2 linked regions of the Elephas maximus indicus genome follow. The protein of the gene in region 1 purifies or fractionates together with the protein of each later gene. This does not show direct contact. Links are inferred from orthologs where the notes say so. Each region holds a gene or a part of one and is shown on either strand. Other genes may lie near its edges. The genes, in order: RPRD2 and RPRD1B.

Evidence for each region.
Region 2: the proteins of RPRD2 (region 1) and RPRD1B purify together in Homo sapiens (affinity purification with mass spectrometry; 4 studies listed by BioGRID and IntAct, counting the BioPlex papers as one, with this or other methods). This does not show direct contact. The link is inferred for Elephas maximus indicus from reciprocal best matches to the Homo sapiens genes RPRD2 and RPRD1B.

What each region holds. Positions count from the first base shown.
Region 1 is NC_064821.1:184,489,981-184,502,584, forward strand, and holds the start of RPRD2 (regulation of nuclear pre-mRNA domain-containing protein 2), read left to right. Parts: upstream 1-7,404; 5' UTR 7,405-8,003; coding exon 8,004-8,208; intron 8,209-12,604.
Region 2 is NC_064843.1:31,480,858-31,493,038, reverse strand, and holds the start of RPRD1B (regulation of nuclear pre-mRNA domain-containing protein 1B), read left to right. Parts: upstream 1-6,368; 5' UTR 6,369-6,770; coding exon 6,771-6,921; intron 6,922-12,181. UniProt on the Homo sapiens protein: Interacts with phosphorylated C-terminal heptapeptide repeat domain (CTD) of the largest RNA polymerase II subunit POLR2A, and participates in dephosphorylation of the CTD by RPAP2. Transcriptional regulator which enhances expression of CCND1.

The sequences.
Region 1 (12,604 bases):
GATTTATAAAACAATTTGCAAATGGGTCAGTGCAAGTCTCCTTGTATGAAGAAAATGCAGAAAAAATATTCCCAAGAATTAGAGATTTCACAGAAGGTTAAATATTTTTTGCTTAATGTATATAAATTTCCATGATGACCAGGGATGGATTACCTAATAAGCAAGGTAAGCACCCACTTAAGGCATCTACAAAACAGGGGTACCAGTTGTTCAAAGCAAAGACCCATAGATGCCAAGCAGATAGGACTGAAGGAAAAGTAAGCACCACAGTGAAAGGCAACTAGATGGTCACTAAATAAAATTGATACCAGTTCCAGTGTGTGAGTGTCCCAGACAGAAATAAAGTTCACACAGTGTCAGTAGGGCATCCACATGCAAGGCTGTTTATGCTGTGAAACCCCTGCCACTTCAATACTTTTGTTGACATCTGTCTCCTATAGTCCCCTGTGGTGTAACTGAAACTCCTTATCTCGGCAAGTCTGTTGAACTATACCATTTTTTCCTAATAAACGAGAGGTGAGGGTGGGCTGTTGAGTCTAACTCTTGCTATATTTACCCAATGTGCAACTGAATCCAATATGAGTGGTTACTGGGCAAGGACTGGTTATATTGATAGATAACAGGTCTCTGACCCATTTTGAGAGAACAGTCTTGTATGCTCTTTGCCATGATACAAACACAAGCGTATGCTGTTGTACACATCCTGGTAGACAACAAATGGAAATTCCAGTTCCGGATGATGCACAAAAGTGAGGGAACTCAAATAAGTTGATCATTGCAATGACAGACAACCACTTAACTGCTCCCTGTCACCAAAAATTAAAGAGATAACTGTGTGGCATCTGTCAGGAAGAGAAGATCGCAGATTTTTTTGGTAATTAGATTTTTTTTCTAAGAGGAGCCATTTAAAGCAAAATTGGTGAAAGCCAATTTTTCATTGTGGGAGATCAACAATTTTACACCGATCGTTCAAACAACTAAATTCATGGACTCATTTTCTTTGTTGTAGAATATGTAGAATATTCCTTCTGTCAGAAATGTGGTTATTGTTGTTCTTGTTAGATGTCGTCAAGTCAGTTCCAACTCATAGCGACCTCATGTACAACAGAACCAAACACTGCCTGGTCCTGTGCCATCCTCACAGTCGTTATGTCTGAGCCCATAGTTGCAACCACTGTGTCACTCCATCTTTTTGAGGGCCTTCCTCTTTTTCTCTGGCCCTCTACTTTACCAAGCATGATGTCTTTCTCCAGAGATGAGTACCTTCTGATAAGAAGTCCAAAGTATGTGCAATGAAGTCTTACCATCCTTGCTTCCAAAGAGCACTCTGGTTTCCGAGACAGATGTGTTTGTTCTTCTGGTAGTCTATGATATATTCAATATTCTTCACCAATACCATAATCCAAAGACATAAATTGTTCTTTGGTCTTTCTTATTCATTGTCCACCACTGCTTGAGTCAGGCACACCTTAGTCTTGAAGATGACATCTTTGCTTTTCAACACTTTAAAGAGGTCTTTTGCAGCAGATTTGCCCAATGCAATGTGTCTTTTGATTTCTTGACTGCTGCTTCCATGAGTGTTGACTGTGGATCCAAGTGAAGTGAAATCCTTGACAGCTTCAATCTTTTCTCCATTTATCATGATGTGGTAATTGGTCCAGTTGTGAGGATCTTTGTTTTCTTTATGTTGAGGTGCAATCCATACTGAAGGCTGTGGTCTTTGATCTTCATCAGTAAGTGCTTCAAGTCCTCTTCACTTTGAGCAAGCAAGGTTGTGTCATCTGCATAACGCAGGTAGTTAGTGAGTCTTCCTCCAATCCTGATACCCCGTTGTTCTTCATATAGTCCAGCTTTTTGGATTATTTGCTCAGCATACGAATTGAATAGGTATGGTAAAATGATACAACCCTTATGCACACCTTTCTTGATTTTAAACCACTCGGTATCTTCTTGTTCTCTCCGAACAACTGCCTCTTGATCTACAGATTCCTTATAAGCACCATTAGGTGTTCTGGTCAATGATGTAATTATATATATATATATATATATATATATATATATATATATATATATATATATATATATATATATATAAAATTAATATCGGAGCCCTAGTAATGCAGTGGTTAAGAGCTTGGGTGCTAACCAAAAGGTCAGCAGTTCAAATCCACCAGTCGCTCCCTGAAAACCCTGTGGGGCAGTTCTACTCTTTCTTATAGGGGCAGTATGAGTTGGAATCGACTCAACGGCAACAGGGTGGTTTAGTTTTGGTTTATCATTAATATCACACGCAAGTAAAATTTTTCTGAAGATAATCCAAAAATGGTTCCAGCAGTACATCGACAGAGAACTTCCAGAAATTCAAGCTGGATTCAGAAGATGACATGGAATGAGGGATATGATGTGAGAAGGATCTTGGCTGAAAGCAGAGAATACCAGAAAGAGGTTTACCTGTGTTTTATTTACTGTGTGAAGGCATTCAACTGTGTGGATTGTATCAAATTATGGATAACGTTGTGAAGAATGAGAATTCCAGAACACTTAATTGTGGTCATGGGGAAAATGTGATGTATTGTAAGAATCCTAGTACCTGTCTCAGTTATCTAGTATTGCTATAACAGAAATACCACAAGTTGATGGCTTTGACAAAGAGAAATTTATTCTCCTACGAATCCGCCAGGTGCTCCTTGGAAACTCTATGGGGCAGTTCTACTCTGTCCTATAGGGTCGCTATGAGTCGGAATCGACTTGACGGCACTGGGTTTGGGTACAGTCTAGGAGGCTAACAGTCTGTATTCAGGTGGCAGCTCCAGAGGAAGGCTCTCTGTCTCTATTAGCTTTGGGGTGGATCCTTGTCATCAATCTTCTCCTAATCTAGAAGCGTCTCAGCACAGGCACCCTGGGTCCAGAGGATGTGTTCTGCTCCCTGCACTGCTTTCAAGGTGGTATGAGGTTCCCCTGTCTCTCTGCTGGTTTTCTTCACTTATATCTCAGAAGACATTGATTTAAGACACAACCTAATCTTGTAAATTGAGTCCTGCCTAATTAACATAACTGCTTCATTAATATCATAGAGGTAGGATTTACAACACATAGGAAAATCACATCAGATGACAAAATGGTTGACAATCACACAATACTGGGAATCACGGCCTAGCCAAGTAGACACACATTTTTGGGGGGGACACAATTCAATCCACGACAGTACCCCACATCCACTAAAAATGTTATAATGGAGTTCACCTCATTCTGCTGAAATGGCATATGCAACTTTTGCCTCAAATCTTTAATATTATTAAAAAAAAAAACAAAAACCCAGTGCCATAGTCACATTTAAAAAGACGTTACATCATGGATAGCTAAGACACCCACGCATACATGTTATATATAAAATATGTGTATATATAACTTATATATCCCATTCAAACGTAAGTAAGCAGAGGAGGGGTACCACAGATTATCAGCGTTTAGTGCCTTAATCGGGCCCTGATGGTGAAGAAATATTTATATGGTTACCGTGCTAGGAGACCCTGGTGGCTTAGTGGTTAAGTGCTATAGCGTTACGTGCTCCTTGGAAACTCTACAGGGCAGTTCTACTCTGTCCTATAGGGTCACTATGAGTCGGAATTGACTAGACAGCGCAGGGTTTGGTTTTTTGGTGTTAGAAAACCCTGGTGGCATAGTGGTTTAGTGTTAGGGCTGCTAACCAAAAGATCGGCAGTTCAAATCCACCAGGTGGTCCTTGGAAACTCTATGGGGCAGTTCTACTCTGTCCTATAGGGTCACCGTAAGTTGAAATCAACTGGACAGCAACGGGCTCATGGGTGTTAGCATTTAATTGACTCAGTGGCAACGGGTTTGGTGGTTTGGTATTAGCATTAAAAAAGTAACTCCTGAGAATTTGGCTCTTTACCCATTTGTAGCTTTGAGACCTCTTGAAACCAAAATCAAGGAAGAACCCGGGCTTTTTCATTAAATTACGAGGTAATGGGTTAGCTATTGACTACCCTTTTTTACCTCAAAAAGACGAATGTACAATGTTGCAGAAAAGTTCCTGGTGAAAAAAAAGTCCATACTTTTGCAGTTTGGATGAGCCTGTTGTGGTTAATTTTTGGACTAGTGGGTAGGAGAAACCTTTTAAAATCAAAGTAAGATGTCTATTGTTAATTTTTTTCTTTCTCTTCACTAAGTCCCAGAGGGAAGGGATTTTGTCTGGTTTGCTCTCTGCATCTAGAACAGTACTTGGCACAAAGATGTGCAACAACTTTTTGTTGAATTAGTGAATGACCTGTTAAAAAATCCCCTGCTGTTGAGTTGATTCTGACTCAAAGTGAACCTACAGGAGCGGAAACTGTCCCATAGGGTTTTCAAGAAGTGGCTGATGAATTCAAACTGCTGACCTTTTTGCTTATTACTAGGGGAAACCCTAGTGGTGTAGTGGTTAAGAGTTACAGTTGCTAACCAAAAAGTTGGCAGTTCGAATCTACCAGGTGCTCCTCGGAAACCATACTGGACAGTTACATTCTGTCCTATAGCCTCACTCTGAGTTGGAATTAACTTGACAGCAACCAGTTTTTTTGTTTTGGTTATGCCACCAGGGCTCCGAATTAGTGAATACTAGATATGATGAGGAAACCCTGGTGGCGTAGTGATTAAGTGCTATGGCTGCTAACCAAAAGGTCGGCAGTTCAAATCCGCCAGGTGCTCCTTGGAAACTCTACGGGGCAGTTCTATTCTGTCCTATAGGGTCACTATGAGTTGGAATCGACTCGACGGCAGTGGGTTTGGTATTTTTCTTTGGTTAGATATGAGTTGGAATCCACTAGAGGGCAACGTTTTTTTTTTTTTAAGATACGAATTGGAGGAGCCCTGGTCGCTGAGTGGTTTAAGTGCTGAGCTGCTAACTGCCTGGTTTAAATCCACTAGCCTGCTCCATGGCAGAAAATGTGACAGTTTCTGTAAAGATTTACGGGCTTAGAAACCCTATGGGGCAGCTCTACTCTAGCCTATATGGTCGCTATGAGTTGGAATCCACTGGATGTCAATGGGTTTTTTTGCGGGGGGGGGCTTAAATATGAATTTAACAGATTCCCTGCCTAAAGAAACATGAGAGTCTAGTGTGGAGACATACAAAAAATTAAAACACAATAATTGCAGATGTTCAGTGGGAACATAAGAAAACCAGTGCCCCTTAATCAACTCCTACTCACTCATGTGTTCCATTTGGTTTTCAATAGCTCATTTTTCAGAAGTAGATCTCCAAGCCTTTCTTAGACTGTGCCTCTGGGTGGACTCAAACCTTCAACCTATTAGTTAGAGGCTGAGCTCATTGACTTTTTTTTTTTTTTTTAACAACAGCCAGCATTTATTCAGCACTTACATTAGGTGAGCTTTTCTTCTCATAATACCAGTGGGTTAGTTATTATCTTATCGATTCCATTTTACAGATTTAGTAGGGGAAAACTGAGGAAACTAGCATTTAGAAGGCTGAATAAGAGATCTAAAGCCACATAGGTCTTCAGGATCAGTGCCAAGATGTAGCTCCCAAGACTAGGTTCTTAACCCTTTGTAGGGATGCCCTCTAAGTTTCTTTGCTATAATTAGGTGGTGTTTACATAAAGCATTATTAATGACTTAAACCATGTGAGTTATGAATTTTAACTGTTCCTGATTCGTTAAAAATTCCAGGTCAGTCACAGATTCTCTTTGTGACTCAGAAGCAAATTCTAGTTTCTGGTTGCACAAAACCAAATTGGGAATAAAAAAATTACATACAAAAATTTGGGGAATATTTTAATCCATTAAAAAAAAATCAGTTGTTTTAAGTTCATGATTTTAATGTTGATTTGACCTTTTCCCAATATAACTTGTGAAGGCTTTTAAATCTGCATATTCTACTGATAGCTTTTCAGCAAGTGTAGTATGAGCTCATATGAGCTTATATGAGTGTATTCGTTAGAACGTTTTTGAAACAAGTAATAGAAAAATCCAACTTTAGTTCAAACCATGAAAGGGAATTGTTGGCACATGTATCTTAGACAGTTCAGTTCAGTAGTAAAGTAAAAAACCAGTTGCCGTCAATTCTGACTCATGGCGACCCCATGTGTGTCCGAGTAGAACTGTGTGCCATAGGGTTTTCAATGTCTGATTTTTCAGAAGTAGATTGCCAGGCCTTTCTTTTTTATTTTTTATAATTTTTAGTGTGCTTTAAGTGAAAGTTTACAAATCAAGTCAGTCTCTCATACAAAAACCCATATACACCTTGCTACACACTCCCAATTACTCTCCCCCTAATGAGACAGCCCGCTCTCTCCCTCCACTCTCTCTTTTAGTGTCCATTTCGCCAGCTTCTAACTCCCTCCACCCTCTCATCTCCCTTCCAGGCAGGAGATGCCAACCTAGTCTCAAGTGTCCACCTGATCCAAGAAGCTCACTCCTCACCAGCATCCCTCTCCAACCCATTGTCCAGTCCAGTCCATGGCTTCGGGAATGGTTCCTGTCCTGGGGCAACAGAAGGTCTGGTGGCCATGACCACCGGGGTCCTTCCATTAAGTCTGGTCTTATGAGAATTTGAGCTCATTGACTATTTGCAACAGACGCGGACTCCAGTGGAAACACAAGAGCACCAATTCTGCTCAGAGAAGTTTACATATGCAGATACAAGGGAAGCTTATTCTGAAGTTGTTCTAAACGGTATCAGACTAAGATTCTTGAAAACTATAATGTATCATGCAATTATGAGACTGTATTATAATTGGCAAAAAGCGAGGTCACATCTTGTCTTTTATCCTTTCCTCGTTTCAAAAACTTTAGGGGAAATGTTTCACTTTATTCTTCCTACAATCCAAACGGTCAAGTGACTGTGAATGGTATAGTCCAAAGGGGAGTGCGAAATATCGTTTGGTCTAGGAGACGGCGTAATGAATGCGCGATGAAGTGGCGCATGCGCATCATCTGAGGCGCCGCAAGATGGCTGGCAGTCGCTTTGCCCTGTGTCGTTGCTCCGTGGAGTTAGCAGAGGCGGGGCCTGCAGCTGCCGGACAATAACAGTAGCTGCTAAACAGTGGGGGCCCTGTCCCGTGAGCTGAACAGCCTCGAGAAAGTGATCCCGCCAGGGAGCAAAAGACGGGGAGGAGTGGTGGAGCCCCTCCCCGAAGCCGCTCCTCAACTTGACCAACTCCCTTTACCCTTCCCTCCCGGCTTTTTCTCCCTGCCCGCTTGCTACTCACTGAGCTGCTGCGCAGGCGCACAAATACTCGCAGCGCCACCTTTGCCTTTGGTGTTTGCGGGCTACTGCGCGCGCTTCTCCTTCTTCTTCTTTGATTGGTCAGATTGCCCCGCCATCACGTCTTCTGTTTTCTAGGTTGAGAAGGAAGCGGGGGTGTAGAGGTGGGGCCAAGCAGCGCGTGCGCTATACTGTTGCTGTCCTTTTGCGGCTGTTGCGTTGCAAAAAAAATCCTGACTAGGTAGCCTTGGGCCTTTTCTGTGCTTGGGGATCTAAAGGAGAAAGATTTCTCTAGCTGAGAGGGGCCACTCGGGTAGTATTGAATTTGAGATACTAACGCCCGCCCCTACTCACAGGATTATGGGGATAGGGGTGGGGAAGGTCCTTAATGTTGAGAGTCGAAGAATATAAAACCATTAGTTTCGAGGCCAGGCGTTTGGAAAGGCTTTGCAGGACCTGTTTTCTGCGTAATTCTTCCGTGATTACTGACTGGTTTAAACACGACCCCTTGAACAATATTGATAAACCTTCGAAACCTGCAGCCCCTCCTTGCAGCGTGTAGGAGCCGCCAGCGTGCCCAGCAGCTGGTCCTCCGGTCCGCACCTCCGGAAGAACCTAGCGCGTGCACCGTCCCCACCCCCTGGCCTCCCTCCCCACCTACGGCTTTCACGCACTCGCAGTGATTGTTTTGCCCGCTCCCGCCGCTGCCGCCGTCGCCGCCGCCGCCTCCGCCGCCGCCGCCGCCGGAGGAGCAGCAGCGCTTGTGCAAACCGGGAAGATGGCGGCCGGCGGCGGCGGAGGCAGCAGTAAGGCCTCCTCCTCGTCGGCCTCTTCGGCAGGGGCTCTGGAGTCCTCGTTGGATCGAAAATTCCAGTCGGTAACCAACACTATGGAATCCATTCAAGGCTTGTCGTCTTGGTGTATAGAGAACAAGAAACACCACAGTACTATCGTCTACCATTGGATGAAGTGGCTTCGGAGATGTGAGTGTTGGGGGGTGACTGGGAAGGGAAGACTGGGGAAATGGAAGGAGATACTACTGTCCGAAACGCTTGGGCTTTTCCCACGGAGCCGCTGCATTCGGTTGGGGTGGTTCACATTCAAGCTTGGACCCGAGTGTTCCCAAGCCCAGACTCCATTCCTAGTCAGGGTTTTCCTAAACTGCAGGAGGCTCGTTTCTTGAATTTTTTAGCTTCTGGCTTGGTGTGACCTTGGGCACTTGGGCCCAGATCCATAGCGATTTCCGTATTCTTTGAGATCTTTGTAAGGTGTGCCGTTGACTTTACTGAACCTTCACGGAAATTGTCGCGTCCGTTTATTTCTTGAAGGCCTTGACGTGTTAATAATTTCTGAGTTTTTTGATGAGAGAAAAGCTATGGTTTAAGCGGTAGTAAATTCACCTACCACTCTATTTTCCTCTGGTCTAAAACTTGTGATGTGTGATAAGGAAGGCCTTACCTGCTTGAATGTTAAGAAAAACCAACACGAGCTCCAAATAGGGCTGAGGTGACCACCTAGGAAGTTAAATACAGGTTTTTCATAACTGACCAGAAACAACTGCAATACTATAGTCACTATCATTACTAATACTTTTACATTTTAGTGTAAACCGTATCAGCTACTTTTTATTAATCTTAAATTCCTTTTTTAGACATTGAAATTAATTTCATAGGTAAAACAGGATATGTGCTTTTAGAGTATATAGTACTTTTTTTTTTTTTCCAGTTAACACTTTTTTTGTCTTCATCGTGGAATTTTTTTCCCCTTTGCTGCTTTACTACAGAAAAGAGGTCTATTAAGCTGTCAGGAAACATGGATCGTTTGCAGAAGATTTCAGATCTTACAGGAGGGAAGTGTGGAGAAGTCACTGTGCTTCCTGCTGAGAAGAGAGCATTAACCCTAACTCCATATATATCTATTTGAATTTGATATCTTTAACTGCTTCCTGTCTATGGCTTGTCACCAGTGAGGCACATCATCCACTTATTCTTGCCCCTGTAGTGTTTTGATTTGTGTTTACCTTTCAAGGAACAGATGGATAAAGCTCGCAAAACTGTAGGCCCCCCTTTGATTTGTGTTTAAGGTTATTGTTGGGAGAGAGATTTTGTAGTTCTTGGACTAATAATGCTGAACAATTAGTAGAGCCAAGACAGAACTACCTGTTTTTATCAATATAGCACGTATATACTTTCTTGGTAATAGGTAAAATTAGAACATGCGATATCAAATAAAGATAGTCCTAATCACAATCATCATCAAAGACTCACATATTATCTGCCATGTGCCGAGTCCTTTATTGTCATTTAACATATACATCTATCTCATTATTCCGTAAAATAACCGTGAGAAGTAGATTTTTTAATCACCAATTGAAAGATGAGGAAACTAAGGCTCAGAAATGTTAAGTTGCTTAAGGTTACACCATAAAATGGTGGGATCAGAATTTGACTCCATCAATTAGATGACAGTGGTCACATTTACCTTTGTAAAACAGTGTTTTCACCATTATTTTTTAATAATCTTAGTACGTTAATATACTTGGTTTTCTAATGGTAGCAGGTAGTGCTGATGTGAGCCTGAGAACATATTCTCCATCCTGTTTTAAAACATCTTTACTAAATTATACAAACGTTTAACATTTCTTACCTTTGGTCTCTGGTGCATTAACTATGTGGTTACAGTATTTGCAAGAATGATTTGGTCCCCATCTCTTTAGTGGGATCACCAGTGACAATTACAGTAATTTTTTGCTGGTTAGAAATAATAGTGAGATACACTGAAGCCAATTTTCCCCCTTGTGCTGTTGTTGATATTGTGCTTGAGCTTATTTCCCTTGTTGATATCTTAAGAGTGAAAAATGATTGATCTAGGAAGGCAGTCATTCATTTGAAGTGCATTCTGTATAGTTTCTATAGTTACATGCTTTTGGCTTTCTAAAATTCTGTGTTTTCCTGGTAGGGTGGAATTTAACTTCCTAAAATCGTTATTTTAAAGGGTAATTTATAGTGGTTTGTATTTCCATTTAATGAACATTATCTGCCTCATTGTATATAAAGCCTTTTGAGAGAAGTATTCTGGGGAGTGGCAAAAGGGCAGAGAGAAAATAATTTATGCATTGGGCCTCATTTTCATTTAAGTTTATATTTCATTTACAGTTGGATTTATTTTAGTTTGAGTCTGGTTTCTAAGTTAACTTTAGGGAAAATTGTGAAATAAGTATCTTGGGCATTCCCAGCCTTTCTGTCCGTTTTTCTGGTGCCACTTTGTCTTCTCTTTTTTTCCTTCTGACATCCATTATTTAGTAACTTATATTTAGACCTCAGTGTGAATTTAAGTAACTGTGTTAACTCTTCGGGAGGTATTTTCATTTAACCTTTATTTCATAATGTGTAATAAGAGATCTTTGTTCACTTTGAAGGAAATAATTTAGAGAAGGCCAGTAGTCTCCCTGAACTTATACTTGATGGGTGGGTTCTACTGATATTATTCTTTTAATTTGCTTAGGTGAAGCATTCATTACCGTTATTTTCTACAAAGATCTTTCAGTAGCATAAACAGATGTCATTCCTATGCTTTAAAACTCTCCAGTGATGTCTCATTGCAACAGGGTTCAAATCTAAACTTCTTTTATCAGAGTCTGCAAGATTGTACACTTCAGACTTCATCTCCTGCCTTTTCATTCAGGTCTGAGTTCAGATAACACCTCCTCAGAGAGGCCTTCCGTAATCACCTTATTTCAAGTGGTTGGTTTAATTACTCTTTTATGTATCACCTCAGTTTTAGTATGTGGAATTACCTCATTTTTTTGTTTACATTTTTATCGTTTGTCTTTCTCGACTGTCTTGTTCACTGCTGTATCCTCAAGCAACTAGAATAGTGCTAGTCACACGGTATGCAATCGGTAAATATTTGCCAATGTTATTTTGTTAAAATAGTTAATCAAGAACTTGAAGAACAGAATTGTTTTGATTTCTGCTTATTGGAAGGAGACATTTATAACTTAGTGGAAGAAATGATTGGCATGGTTGTCAGCAGGTTCAGGATATGGCTCTTATATGGACATGATGTTTAATTTGGCAAGGTTATCATTTCTATACTTTATTCCTTTCTCTCGTTTTTAGTGTACAATGGGAATCGTTATGGAAAAGTGGAAATACACAGATTTTACACTTAAGACCTAGGTTCGGATCTTAACTCTATCACTTAATACCTAGGTGACACTACATCTGATTTATGTAAGCCTCATTTGTGAGTAAAGATAGTAATTATATCTTGTAGGATTACTTTCTAGATTAAAGAAGGTAGTGTATATATTTTAGCATAGGGCACATGGAAAGCGTTCAGATTGTTTATAGTGACAGTGATGATGATGTGGATACAAGTAGTCGTAAGATCCTGAGTATTTAAAATAATTGTAGAAGAACTTTGTTTTGGGTACCCGTACCTGTTGCTGTCTTGTGGATTCCATTTCACAGTGGCCCTATAGGACAGAGTAGACTGCCTCATAAGAGGTTCCAAGGAGTGTCTGGTAGATTCAAACTGCCGACCTTTTGGTTCGCAGCTGAGCTCTTAACCACTGTGCCACCAGGGCTTCTGTTTGGGAAGTGCTGGAAATTATGTTCCCAGTCAGTAGCAGTTGAGTTGGACTGATATCTCTGTTATGAATCAGCAAGTGCTCGGAAGAGCTAGTAGGATAAAATGGAAAATAACATGTTCGTAACACCTCCATTTTGTCTTGTTTCTAACCATTGAATGGGTTGGTCTGTTTTAGAAGATTATATGAGAATTTAAGTGAGTTTTTTCAGGGGGGGAAGCAGTTAATGTCGAGTTGATTCCAACCCATGATGACCCATGTGTGTCAGAGTAGAACTGTGTTCCATAGAGTTTTCAGTGGGTGGTTTTTCAGAAGTAGATAACCAGGCCCTTCTTCTAAATTTGAAGGAAAGGAAGAGGGAAGTAAGGAAAAATTGTTGTTGGGTGCTGTAGAGTCGATTTCAACTCATAGTGAGCCACGCAACAGAGTAGAACGGCCCTATAGGGCTTTCTTGGCTGTAATCTTATGGAACAGATCCTCAGGTCTTTCTCCCGTAGAGCCGCTGGGTGGGTTCAAACTGCCAGCCTTTCAGTTAGCAGCTGAGCACTTAACCATATGCGCCACCAGGGCACAAAGGAAAGTGGAAGAGTAATTGCATATCAGTTAAAGAGCAGAAAATCTGTTAAAATTTCCCTCCACCTCTTTTTGGTACAAACTTCAAATATGTACAAAAATCAAAAAGTAATGACACCCCCTCTTCTACCGATCATATCACTTCAATAGTTATCAACTTCATGGACAAACATTTTTCATCTGTCCCATATATTCTCTCCCCACCACATTAC
Region 2 (12,181 bases), on another chromosome or scaffold:
TGCTCAATAACCCATCTGGTAGTAGCGTTCACAGTGAGCTGGAGGACTACTGTCTTGGGGTAAAATTATTTTGTCTCTCCAACCAAATGGTACACTGCTTAACTGCTGCAGCCTTATTTGTGGTTTCCCCAGCATCTGGTGCAGTGTCTGCCAAGCAGTTCCCACTCACTAAATATTTATTTAATAAACAAGTAAAAGAAGATAGATAAACATTAAACCTTTGGCATACCCTGAAGTTTTGTTGCTTCCTAGCCATCCCTCCTTCTACTTAGAAATGTTTCCTTTGCATATTCTAGGAGCCATACATTGTGCTAAGCTCTTAAGAGGGAAGGGAGATACAAAGTTAAGCAGAGGGTCTAGGCCTGCAAGGAGGAGGGCACTGCAGAACAGTAAATGCATATGACAGAATACGGAGGAGGGGAATCAGGAGACTTCCCATAAAGCCTTCCAGTCCTAGTTCCCCTCCCCTGTCTTGTGAGAACTAGGTTATTCTAGGCTCACTTAGTACTGTTTACAGCTCTCCTCTATAGAAGGCTTGTGACACTGCCTTGTATTAAACTTATACCATGTACCTGTCCCCTTAGACCAGAGGCTCTTTGGGAGGCAGTATATTCTACAACAGTGGTTCTTAACCAAAGGTGTACATCACAATACATATGATAGCTCTCTCCCCTTCTCTGCCATCTTTGTGTGTATGGCTGCCTCCCATCCTCACCAGGTCTTCTCAGAAGACTCTCAGGGTCAAGAGATTCCTGGCCAAGAAACAGAGGCAGAATTGTCCCATTCCCCAGTGGATTTGAATGAAAACTGGTAATAAAATCAGGCATGACTCCAACAAGAGACACTGGAGAAGAACCAACCTGGGTCTATAAGGGTCACACGTGATGGCACACAGAGTTACGCTCTATCAAGTTCACTAGCATCTTACCATATCAAGTGGAAAATTCCACCACTATCTGAACAATTGAACATGTTGTACTGGGAAAATTCTAGTTTCTTCCTTTGTTCTTATGCTTTGGCATTAATATGTTGATTCAGTAATAAATATGTGTGACCTTTTATTTGGAAAAAAAAAAAACACATATGATAGTGCTGTCCCCACCCCCAAATTATGCCCTGGCACTGGAAATCGAAATAAACTCTCTAGGACACATGTATCTATATAAAATAAACAGAGGACTTCCGCTTCCAGGAAGATGGAGTAGATGTACTTTTTCCTATCTTCCCACTAAGTACAACTAAAAACACTGGATGTTATATGGAAAACAAACCTAAGACTCTAAAATGTGGGAAGAAAATAAATTGGCTAGGGGCCTCAGGACCGAGAAATAACCTGGTGGTGAGTTCCCTGGGCTTATTTTTACCTCATATATCTCAGGCTTGGAACTGAAGAAGCTGGAAACCCCAAACACCAACAGGTGCAGACAAAAGAAGCCCCCCCAAAAGCCTTCCCTTTCTAGCCAAAGGACCAGGAAAGCACAGCCTAGCAAGACAGAAAACATTTAGACAGTAACTGGTTTACTTCAGCCAAACACCACAGAAATAAACGGCAGGCTCACCCCAATCTGTACCAAAAAAGGCTCAGTGCAGAATGTAGACTTCTACCTTCATGCAGCTATAATGAGGTGCCCCAACACCCCCGCCGAGGTGGTGCCAGAGAAGGCACAGGGACCCTCACCCCCACCACCACTGCAGTATCAGTGAAGACCACATGAGGAGTCAGAACACCCACCTCTGCCCAGCAGTAACAAGAAGCCCCCTTCACCTTGGGTGTCAGTAGAGGGTGGGTGGAGAACCTGAACTTCCACCTCCACCTGGCAGTAATGAGGCCCCCTTTCCGCTACTGGAGCAGTGCCAGAGAAAACCAGCTAAAACGGGAGGTTTAAATAAGAGCCAGAATCTCAACAAAACACAAAAATGTCCAGGTTTCAACTGAAAATCATTCATCATACAAGAACAAAGAAGATCCCAAAATGAATGAAAAAAAGACAATCAATAGATGTCAACACCAAGACAACAGAGATGTTAGAATTCTCTGACAAAAATATTACAGACGCTATGATTAAAACTCTTCAATAAACAATCATGAACATGCTTGTAACAAATGAAAAAACAGAAAACCTCAGTGAAGAAACAAAAGATATAAAGAACCAAATAGAAATTTTAGAACTAAAGAATACAGTAACACAAAAAAGCTCAGTGACAAAGTCAACAGCAGAATGGAGGGCACGGTGGAAGGGATCAGTGAACTGGAAGACAGAACAATAGAGATTGCCCAATCTGAACATGACAGAAAACATAAACTGAAAAGCCAAACAAACGCAGAGTCTCGAAGACCCGTGAGGCTCAAATGAAAGATCTAAGAGTTCTCAGAGCAGAAAAGAAGGCTGGCTGAGAAAAGTACTTGAAGAAAAAATGGCTGAAAGCTTCCCAAATTTGGAAAGAGATGTAAACCTATAGATTCATGAAGATTTGTGAGCCCCAAACAGGATAAACTCCCAGAAATCACTATCAATACACTTCATAATTAAATTTCTGAAAACTAAAGACAAAGTCCTGAAAGCAGCCAGAAAAAAATGACATCTAATAGGGGCAAAACAATTTGAATGACAGTACTTTTATCATTAGAAATCATTTAGGCCAGAGGGAAGTGGCACAATATTTTTCAGGTACTTAAACAAAAAAAAAAAAAACTGTCAATCCAGAATTCTATACCCAGCAAAAATGTTCATCAGAAATGAAGAGGAAATCAAGACATTTCCAGATGTCTAAAAGATAAGGGAATACTATAAATAACTTTATACACATAACCGACCACTAAGAGACAGAGCAAATGGGCAAACTCCTTGAAAAATACAAATTACTATAACTCACACAATATGAGATGGAATACCTGAATAACCATATTAACTATTATCAGTACCAGTTGCTGTCAGTTCGGACTCATGGCAACTCACGTGTGTCAGAGTAGAACTGTGCTGTATAGGGTTTTCAATCGTTGATTTTTCAAAAGTAGAGCAACAGGCCTTTCTTCTGATGCACCTCTAAACCAAAACCAATCCCACTGCTTTGAGTCAATTCAAACTCATAATGACCCTAAAGGGCAGAGTAGAATTGCCCCATACGGTTTCCAAGGAGCGCCTGGTGGATTTGAACTGACAAACCTTTGGTTAGCAGCTGTAGCACTTAACCACTATGCCACCAGGGTTTCCGATTCAGACATAGGTGCTCAAAATTTATTTGCTGAATGAATGAATGAACCAGTGGCTCAGGAATGAAGAATCTGGGATCACACATCAGATAATCTTAATCTGACTCTTGGCTCTGCCATTTCCTAGCTGTGTACTCTCGGATGGGTTACTTAACCACGCTTTATGTTTTCTCATTTATCAAATAATAACCCCATCCTATAGGCTATAAGGATTAAATATACGTAATGTACTTAATACACAGTGACTTGGTGTAAAAGCTCTCAATACGTGATTGTTACAGTATAGAATCGTGTATAGATTTGGATTCAAAAATCCTAGCTTACAATTATGACTAGTTACTGTCTGATTTTAGGCTACCCACTTCTATATTAATTCATTCAATCAGCTATGACTCAAGTGCTGGGGACAAAGGGATCGATAAAATGCAGTCCCTACCCTCAAATCTTAGTTATGTGATTTTGGGCAGGTCACTTAAAATGGGGATAATACAATACCTACCTCAGAGCTTTACTGTGAGAATTAAATGAGTTACTATGTGTAAACACAGTGTCTGGCACACAGCAAGCGCTCACTAAGTGTTAGGTACGATTATGATGATTCTAATCCGGAGAAAAAGTCCTGGTGGAGCAGTGGTTACGAGCTCAGCTGCTATAACCCAAGGGTTGGTGGTTCGAATGTACCAGCTGCTCCGTGGGAGAAAGATGCGGCAATCTGCTTCCATAAAGATTACAGGCTTGTAACATTTAGGATATTCTACTGGTCTCACCCCTTCCGGAGCAAGGAAGAATGAAGAAAACTAAAGGAACAAGGGAAAGATTAGTCCAGAGGACTAAGGGACTACAACTACCACAGCCTCCACTAGACTGAGGCCAGTACAACTAGATGGTGCCCAGCTACCGTCACTAACTGCTCCGACAGGGATCACAAGAGAGGGTCCCGAACAGAGCTGGAGAAAAATATAGAATAAAATTTTAACTCAAAAAGAAAGACCAAACTTACTGGCCTGACAGAGACTGGAGAAACCCTGAGTGTATGGCCCCCAGACATGCTTTCAACTCAGCTCAGTAATGAAGACATTCTTGACATTCACCCTTCTGCCAAAGATTGGACAGGCCCATAAAAACAAAACAAGACTAAAGGGGCACACCAGCCCAGGGGCAAGGACTAAAAGGCAGGAGGGGACAGGAAACCTGGTAACAAGGAACCTAAGGTTGAGAAGGGAGAGTGTTAACATGTCGTGGGGTTGTTAACCAATGTCATAAAACAGTATGTGTACTGTCTAATGAGAAACTTATTTGTTTTGTAAGCCTTCATCTAAAGGACAAAAAAAAAATTACAGGCTGGAAACCCTAAGTGGCAGTTCTACTCTGTCCTATAGGTCACTGAGTCAGAATCAACTCGACAGCAACATGTTTAGTATGGAAAAGGGATAAAGGCATTTAAGCAAAGAACTACAATACAGTGACAGTAAGAGCAAAAAACAGAGGCACCAACTAGAAGAAAGTCTCCTAAACTGCGGTCTGCCCACAACTGTGAAGTTCCACGGTGATCAAGAAAACCTTAACCTGAGAGTATGGCACCTGGACACCCTTTTAGGTCAGTAACGAAGTCACTCCTGAGGTTCACCCTTCAGTCAAAGATTAGACAGGCCCATAAAACAAAACGAGACCAAAGGGGCACACCAGCCCAGAGGTAACGATTAGAAGGCAGGAGGTAACAATAGGGAACCCAAGGTTGAAAAGAGAGGGTGTGGTGGGGTTGTAAGTGAATGTCACAAAACAACATGTGTACTGTTTAATAAGAAGCTAGTTTGTTCTTAAATCTTCATCTAAAACACAATTAAAAAAAAAGGAAAACCTTAAAATTCTGCTATGTCTATGATAACTGTTATAGATTGAATTTTGTCCCCCCAAAATGTGTGTCAACTTAGCGAAGCTATGAGTCCCTGTATTATGTGGTTGTCTTCCATTTTGTGATCTGATGTAATTATCCTATGTGTTGTAAATCCTAACCTCTATAGGATTGGAGGAAGTTATGTCAACCAGGCAGGACACAATCTACATGATTAGGTTATATCTGGAGTCAATCTTTTGAGATATAAAAGAGAGAATTGAGCAGAGAGGGACCTCATTACCATCAAGAAAGATGAGCTAGGAGCAAAGCACGTCCTTTGGACTGGGGTTCCTTGTGCTAAGACGCTCCTACACCAAAGGAAGATTGATGACAAGGACCTTACCCCAGAGCTGACAGACAGAAAGCCTTCCAACCTGGAGTTGGTGCCCTGAATTCAGACTTCTAGCCTCCTGAATTGTGAGAGAATAAATTTGCTTGTTAAAGTCATCTACTTGCGGTATTTCTGTTATGGCAGCACTAGATAACTAAGGCAGTAACCTCTCTACTCCCCCAGAGTAATTACAAAGACAAACTACTTTGCTGCTTTCACTGGAATTTAAAGCTTTAAAAAAATTGAGTAAGAATTCTTGAAGAGTGTTTCTTAAAGGAGGCTGACAGACACAGCGGGAAGGTAAGATAATTTCCCTTCCCCACCAAAGGTTAACATATTAAAGCTGAAAAACGTCAATTGGATGGTGAACCCCAGTGGGCAAAGGTTTCCTGTAACTGCCTAAACGAAGCAACCAATTAGAAGTCGAGAGCACAAGGTGTGTTTCATGGCAGTGCTGTCACAAAGGGACAGAATCGGACATTAAAGAGTGGGTCCTGGCGGCTGAGTAGGTGAGAAAGACGGCGTCACCTTTGGAGAGAGAAAAACAAAAGCCGAGGCGCGGAAGGGTGAAAGCGCACGTGCGTGGCTTGGAGGAATCAAAGCTTTTTAAGCGGCGGTCACAGTGCTGGACATGTACAGAGAGAAAGTGCGGCCTGGGGCTTGGCGGGTGAAAGAAGAAACCCTCCCTCCATACCTAGGCCATGATCCCTCAGCCTTGGTGTCCCCACAAGGCCCCTCTCCGGAACCCACTCGGCTGGGCTCCCAGCGGCTCTCGCCCCTCTTCCCTTACCTCGTCTTCTAGTCTTTCCCTTACTCTCCCTCCTCCTCCGCCCCGACGGAAGTGACGTTATAACGAATGCGCCGCACAGCGCTAGAAAGGTTCCGCGGGCGCGGGAGACAGGGTTCCGGCGGTACTCAGTGCGCCGGCGTACGGGCGCGAGCGGTTACAGCGCCTTCCGGGAGCCGAGAAACAGATTCCTCTCGCCGGGTTTATCGCCTTCGAAGTGCCCTGAGCAACGTTCGGAGAGGCTGCCGGTCCTGGAAAGACTTTTCTCTACAGCTCCGGACGCCTCTGGGTGCCCAACTACTCCGGCTCTTGCCCCTTGACCCTGCTCTCGCGGCGGGGTGAGAGGTCGGGTGGCCATCTTGTGGCGGCTGCGCGGGCGGCTGTTACTGCGGTGACCCATCCCCTCCTCCCACCTACCACCCGAGTCATCTGTCAGTCAGTAAAGAGTCCGGCAGTCTGTCAGGTGAGGCCTCGGCCTCGTGCCGTCGCTCTTCCTGCCGCACTGGGCGGCCCAGGCCGCTCCCTGCCGGCCCTCACCGTCGCCGCCATGTCCTCCTTCTCCGAGTCAGCTCTAGAGAAGAAGCTCTCGGAGCTGAGCAACTCTCAGCAGAGCGTGCAGACCCTGTCCCTGTGGCTCATTCACCACCGCAAGCACGCGGGGCCCATCGTCTCGGTGTGGCACCGCGAGCTCCGCAAAGGTAAACACCCCTTCCCCGCCCCCTTGGCTCAATCCCGGATTGTTCTCTCCCCCACCTTCTCCCTAGGCTCCTCTACTGCTTAATTGAGTCTTGCCTTCCAGACACGGGCTTCTGAGGCTGGAGATAGTGTTATCCCCATTTCTCGGAGAGGGAAACTGAGGCCCAGGAAAGTGTAAGGCATTTGTCCGAGGTCCCACTGACCAGGGCCCAGCTACCCAGACTCCCAGTTCATTAAGCCTTTCCCCCCGCAGAATTTTCTTCACACTTTTAAATGTTACTTTCTCGGCTGCCTTCAGCGCCCGATGGAGGGTACTGGCGCCAGCCTGTTAAATATGCCAGGTTCTGTGCTGGGCATTCAGAGTAACAGTCGGCAGGCTCAGGAGTCAAGCTGCCTAGATGGAGCCTGGCCCAACCACTTGCTAGCTGAGTGATGTTGGGCTCTCTTTGCCTTCATTTCCTCATCCATAAAACGGAGGCAAGCTTAGCTGTGACTTACAGAGCCTTTATTCTGTGCCAGCCACTATGCTAAGATCTTTATATATGTCCTTGTGCTCAGTCCTCAGAACAGCATTTTAGAGAGTTTAAGGGGCCACATCACTAGCCCTTACCTCTCAGGACCCTCCTTTCATGCAGCTGCCATAGTTTCCAGACCCTGCTCAAGATCACTGAGCTCAGCCTAGTACTGGGTTGGGCACTTGACGGTATGTTAGCCCCACAGCCTAAGAGCTTGGAATCTAAGCCTGGCTTTGCCACTTACTAATACGAATAACTTAACCCTCCTTGTCTCTCTGTTTCCTTAATTCTCAGAGTCCTATGAAGTAGGAGGAGCCCTGGTGGCACAGTGGTTAAGGATTAGGCTGTTAACCAAAAGGTTGGCAGTTCAAATCTACCAGCCACTCCTTGGAAACCTATGGGGCAGTTCTTCTCTGTCCTGTATGGTCCCAATGAGTTGAAATCAACTTGACGGCGATGGGTTATGAAGTAGGAAGTGGCTTGGTGGCGCAGTGGTTAAGAGCTATGGTTGCTAACCAAAAAGGCAGGCAGTTTGAATCTACCATCCTCTCCTTGGAAACCCTTTGGAGTGGTTCTACTCAGTCCTGTAGGGTTGCTATGAGTTGGAATCGACTCCGTGGCAATGTTTGTTTTTTTTTTTTTTAAATAAAGTAGGATCTTTGCAGATGAGGAAAAACTGATGCTGAAACAACAACTTGTGGTGAGCGGTAAACAAAATAATCCAGATGAGCATTTAGTGTGGTGTCAGACACAGTGAAGGCATTTGGTTAATTGTGGTGAGATGGGACTGTTGATTATTCAGTGTGAGGCAGAGTCCTCGTCTTAAGTTGCTTACAGTTGGTGGGGAAAGGTGGACACCTACACCTCTGATACCCCAGTGAGTGCCATAACAGAAGGATGAGGAGATGGTACGGGCGCTTAAGAGTTATACTGGACAGCCTAGACAGCAGAGAAAGTGACTTTACCTGTGTTCTCTACTACCTGTGAGGTGGAGGGTATCTCCCCACTTTACAGATGAGGAAACTGAAGCTCAGAGTGGCTAAGTGGTATTTCCGAGGCCTTAGAGCTGGTGAGACTATGTCAGGTTGGCAAGCTCCAAAACCCAAATTTTGGAGCCTCCCCGGCCCCAGCAGACTCAGTTCTAGCCTACTAGCAGAGACTCCAGAATATCATGGCCTGTACGGGATCCCCTCAGCCCTCTGGGCACTGGGGTAGAGCCTGGGGCTGCCAGAGCCTCCTTCATGTAACTTGTGCTGAGATGTGGCAAACGTGTATTGCCTCAGCAGGATCGTGTTAGGTAGCATTTCAGTCCATCTCAAATAGCCACATGTGGCTTGTGGCTACCATATTGGACAGTGCAGAACTAGAGGAAGCTCCATCCAGGCATCAAGATGCAACTTCCTAATACGCAGGCTTGCTTTGTGAATTGAAAATGCCCTCACACTAAAGTGGAAAAGGATTTTCTGTTCTAATGTTCAAACTGACTGGCCTTTTAGATTCTAGGCCACCCTGATTCTTTAAGAAGTGGACATTTCTGTTTATGGTCATTTTCTTTATGTAAGTTTTTCACTGACTGACTCTGAGTTGCTTTCAAAATATTTACCAGACTTCCAGAAATCACTGTTTCTCACTTAAACGCGCCTTCTATTCCTGATGTGTTACTTTCTTTCCAGTTTCCTAGGAAGAATTCTTAATTTATTCCTTTGGGCTCAGTTCTAAGTCGAATGTCTCTTGTTCTTCATGAAGTAGTTTGGTGCAGAATGGTCTTAGATGAACATATTTTAATGGTGTTTTTGTATCCTAGCCTGAATGCAGATACATAGGCTTTTTTCCAAAATTACCGTAAAACTTTCTTTAGATGTCAAAACAACCACCCAAGTGAAAATTTTTGGTCAGCCAGTTGTTTATACTTTGCTCAACAACTAGTTCAACCAATTTGGAATGAGCATAAGTAGGAGAATGAAAGGACCTCTTTTGTCATATTGAAAAGACGTCTGAACGAGTGAGTTGTCACCCAGGGCTGGAGTGGAGGAATGTGGTGTATGTGTTGTGTGTATTATGAATGCATGAGTTCAAGTGCTCTAGTGCTTTGTTGTATCACCTTTACATACACAGTGTTTATGTTGACGGTTACATGCTAGATGTGGAGGAGTAAGGGTTTTTTTAATAGATAAATTTAATTTAAGAAAGTAGATAATTCTCAGTCAAAAATCAAAATGGCATAGAAAGCTGTACATTAAAAGATGTCACTGCTTCCCATGTCCATGTCTATCCTATTCCCACTCCACACATACCCTGTTTGTAACCACTTTTATTATATTCCTATGTCCTTCCAGCAGGGTTTTTTAATTGTTAAAAAAAAAAAAAAAAAATTACACATAGGGTTGCTGTGAGTCGGAATCAACTTGATGGCAACAAGTTTGATTTTATCTCTCTGTAAAATACATTTGCCAATTCAACATTTTCAGTTATACAATTTAGTGATATCAGTTACATTAATCATGTTCTACAACCATAATTTTTTGTTGATGGAGGGATAAAGTTTTATCCTAAATAAATCCCCTTCATTAAGTTTGGGGATGATGGAAATTAATTGACATTGTAGATGGTGAAAAACCTGACTCTAGTCAGATACTGTATTTGTAATACAAAAAAAGTATGAGGTTTTGAATGGCCAAATTAACTTTTTACAATATGGATTTCTGGATTTTTTTTTTTTTTTTGTAGTTTATTGTGCTTTAAGCGAAAGTTTATAAATCAAGTCAGTCTCTCATACAAAAACGTACATATACCTTGCTATGTACTCCTCGCTGCTCTCCACCTAAGGAGACAGCATACTTCTCTCCACCCTGTGTTTCCCGTAACCATTCAACCAGCTCCTGTCCCCTCTGCCTTTTCATCTCGCCTCTAGACAAGAGCTGCCTGCATAGTCTCATGTGTCTACTTGAGCCAAGAAACTCACTTCTCACCAGTATCATTTTCTGTCTTATAGTCCAGTCCAATTCTTGTCTGAAGAGTTGGCTTTGGGAATGGTTCCAGTCTTGGGCTAACAAAAGGTCCGGGGACCGTGACCTGCAGGGACCCTCTAGTCTCAGTCAGACCATTAAGTCTGGTCTTTTTACGAGAATTTGAGGTCTGCATCCCGCTGTTCTCCTTCCTACTCCATCAGGGATTCTCTGCTGTCAGGGCGGTCATCCGTTGTAGCCAGGCACCATCTAGTTCTTGGATTCTGGATTTTTTAAGATGAAGTATATGGAATTTACGAAATTTCACTTAGTCAGATTTGCTTTGTTAAAACTTTTTTTTTTTCTTAATCCAGTAGCTTTCATGGCATTATGAACTTGATGTTTTGAATTACTACAACTTCTCAGAACAAGGTTTGCTTTTTTTTTTTTTTTTTTTTAAAGTCTTTGCCATAATCATACCTTTGTAGCAATGGTGGGCTATTTTAACTAGTGACACTTTTGTTCTGCTTTTGAATAACAATTAGAACAGTGCAAGATAGCTCCGTGTTCCCAATATTCTCATCGAGTTCCCAATATTCTCATCGGTTGGCCATCTAAACTAGGTTACCAGAAGGTTAATACAATACAGGGTATCCATTTTTAATATTATGAGCACTTTTTAAGACATCAATTTAAACTATGATATCCCTTAAAAAATCTTGATTTTTACTTGGGTTATTCTCATGCAGCTACTAGCTACATTTTAAAATGTCAGCTCTTATGCCTGCTGTGTCAGAACTTACACATGCTATGTGCATTTCAGAAGAAACAGAAAAGTGGTTTCTGAGAGAAACGGAGCAGGGACTAGTTATTCAGGTGTGTAAAGACTGACATGGATCTCGCTTGAGTTTTTCAGGTAGTTTTACATTTGAAAAAACTAGGTGTTTTGAAAGATCTAATTTAAGTTTTTATTTACTTCTTTTCAAAGAAAACTAGGACCAAAAAGGGTGGTGATGCACCTTTATGATTGAGAAGTTATGTGCATAGAAGCCAGGACATTCAGTAATGTTCCCCCAAGCAACTGTAACTCAGACATATTGCATGAGGTTTTTATGTTTTGATATATGATACCATATAGAGTAATAAGAAATACTATATCTGGTATGTATAAGAGAGAAGAATTATGGTTTTTGTGGGAGTCATAATTTTGAATATCCGGATTTCAGATGTGTGCAAATTTTTGATACTGATATAGCATTAATGTGTATTTGTATTTGAAATAAATGTCCATTGGTATACCTAGAGATTCCTCTGGATTGTAGAGTTGGTATCATTGACTGTTTATGGTTATTGAAGTATTCAAAAGACATTCTCAGTTTAGGAGCATAAAGTGCAAGAATCTACTGAAATTGCAACATAGCATAATCTTTCATTCTTTAATTTGATAATTAACAGTGAGTTAGAAATGTTCATCTTTGCAGTAGAATAAATGAAAGCCTTGGTTTTAACATGTCTTTGTGAAAATAGTGAGTGTTTATCCTTTAGGAACTTTTCTTTGGATCATCTTCATTTTCACTCGGTCAATTAATTACTCTGATTAAAATAACACAGAAATGAAGATGGCCCATTCTCCCCCACCAGAATTGTTTTCCCAAACCTGTTTTCTCAGCGATCTTCCTGAGTTCCTTGTTTTTTTGTTTTTAAACACATAGCAGCTTTGAGTTCAAGTAGATAATGGTTGTCTTAATGTTCTTGTTGAGTAGCCAAGGGCAAAAGAACTGCGAAATGAGAATTTCGTTGGT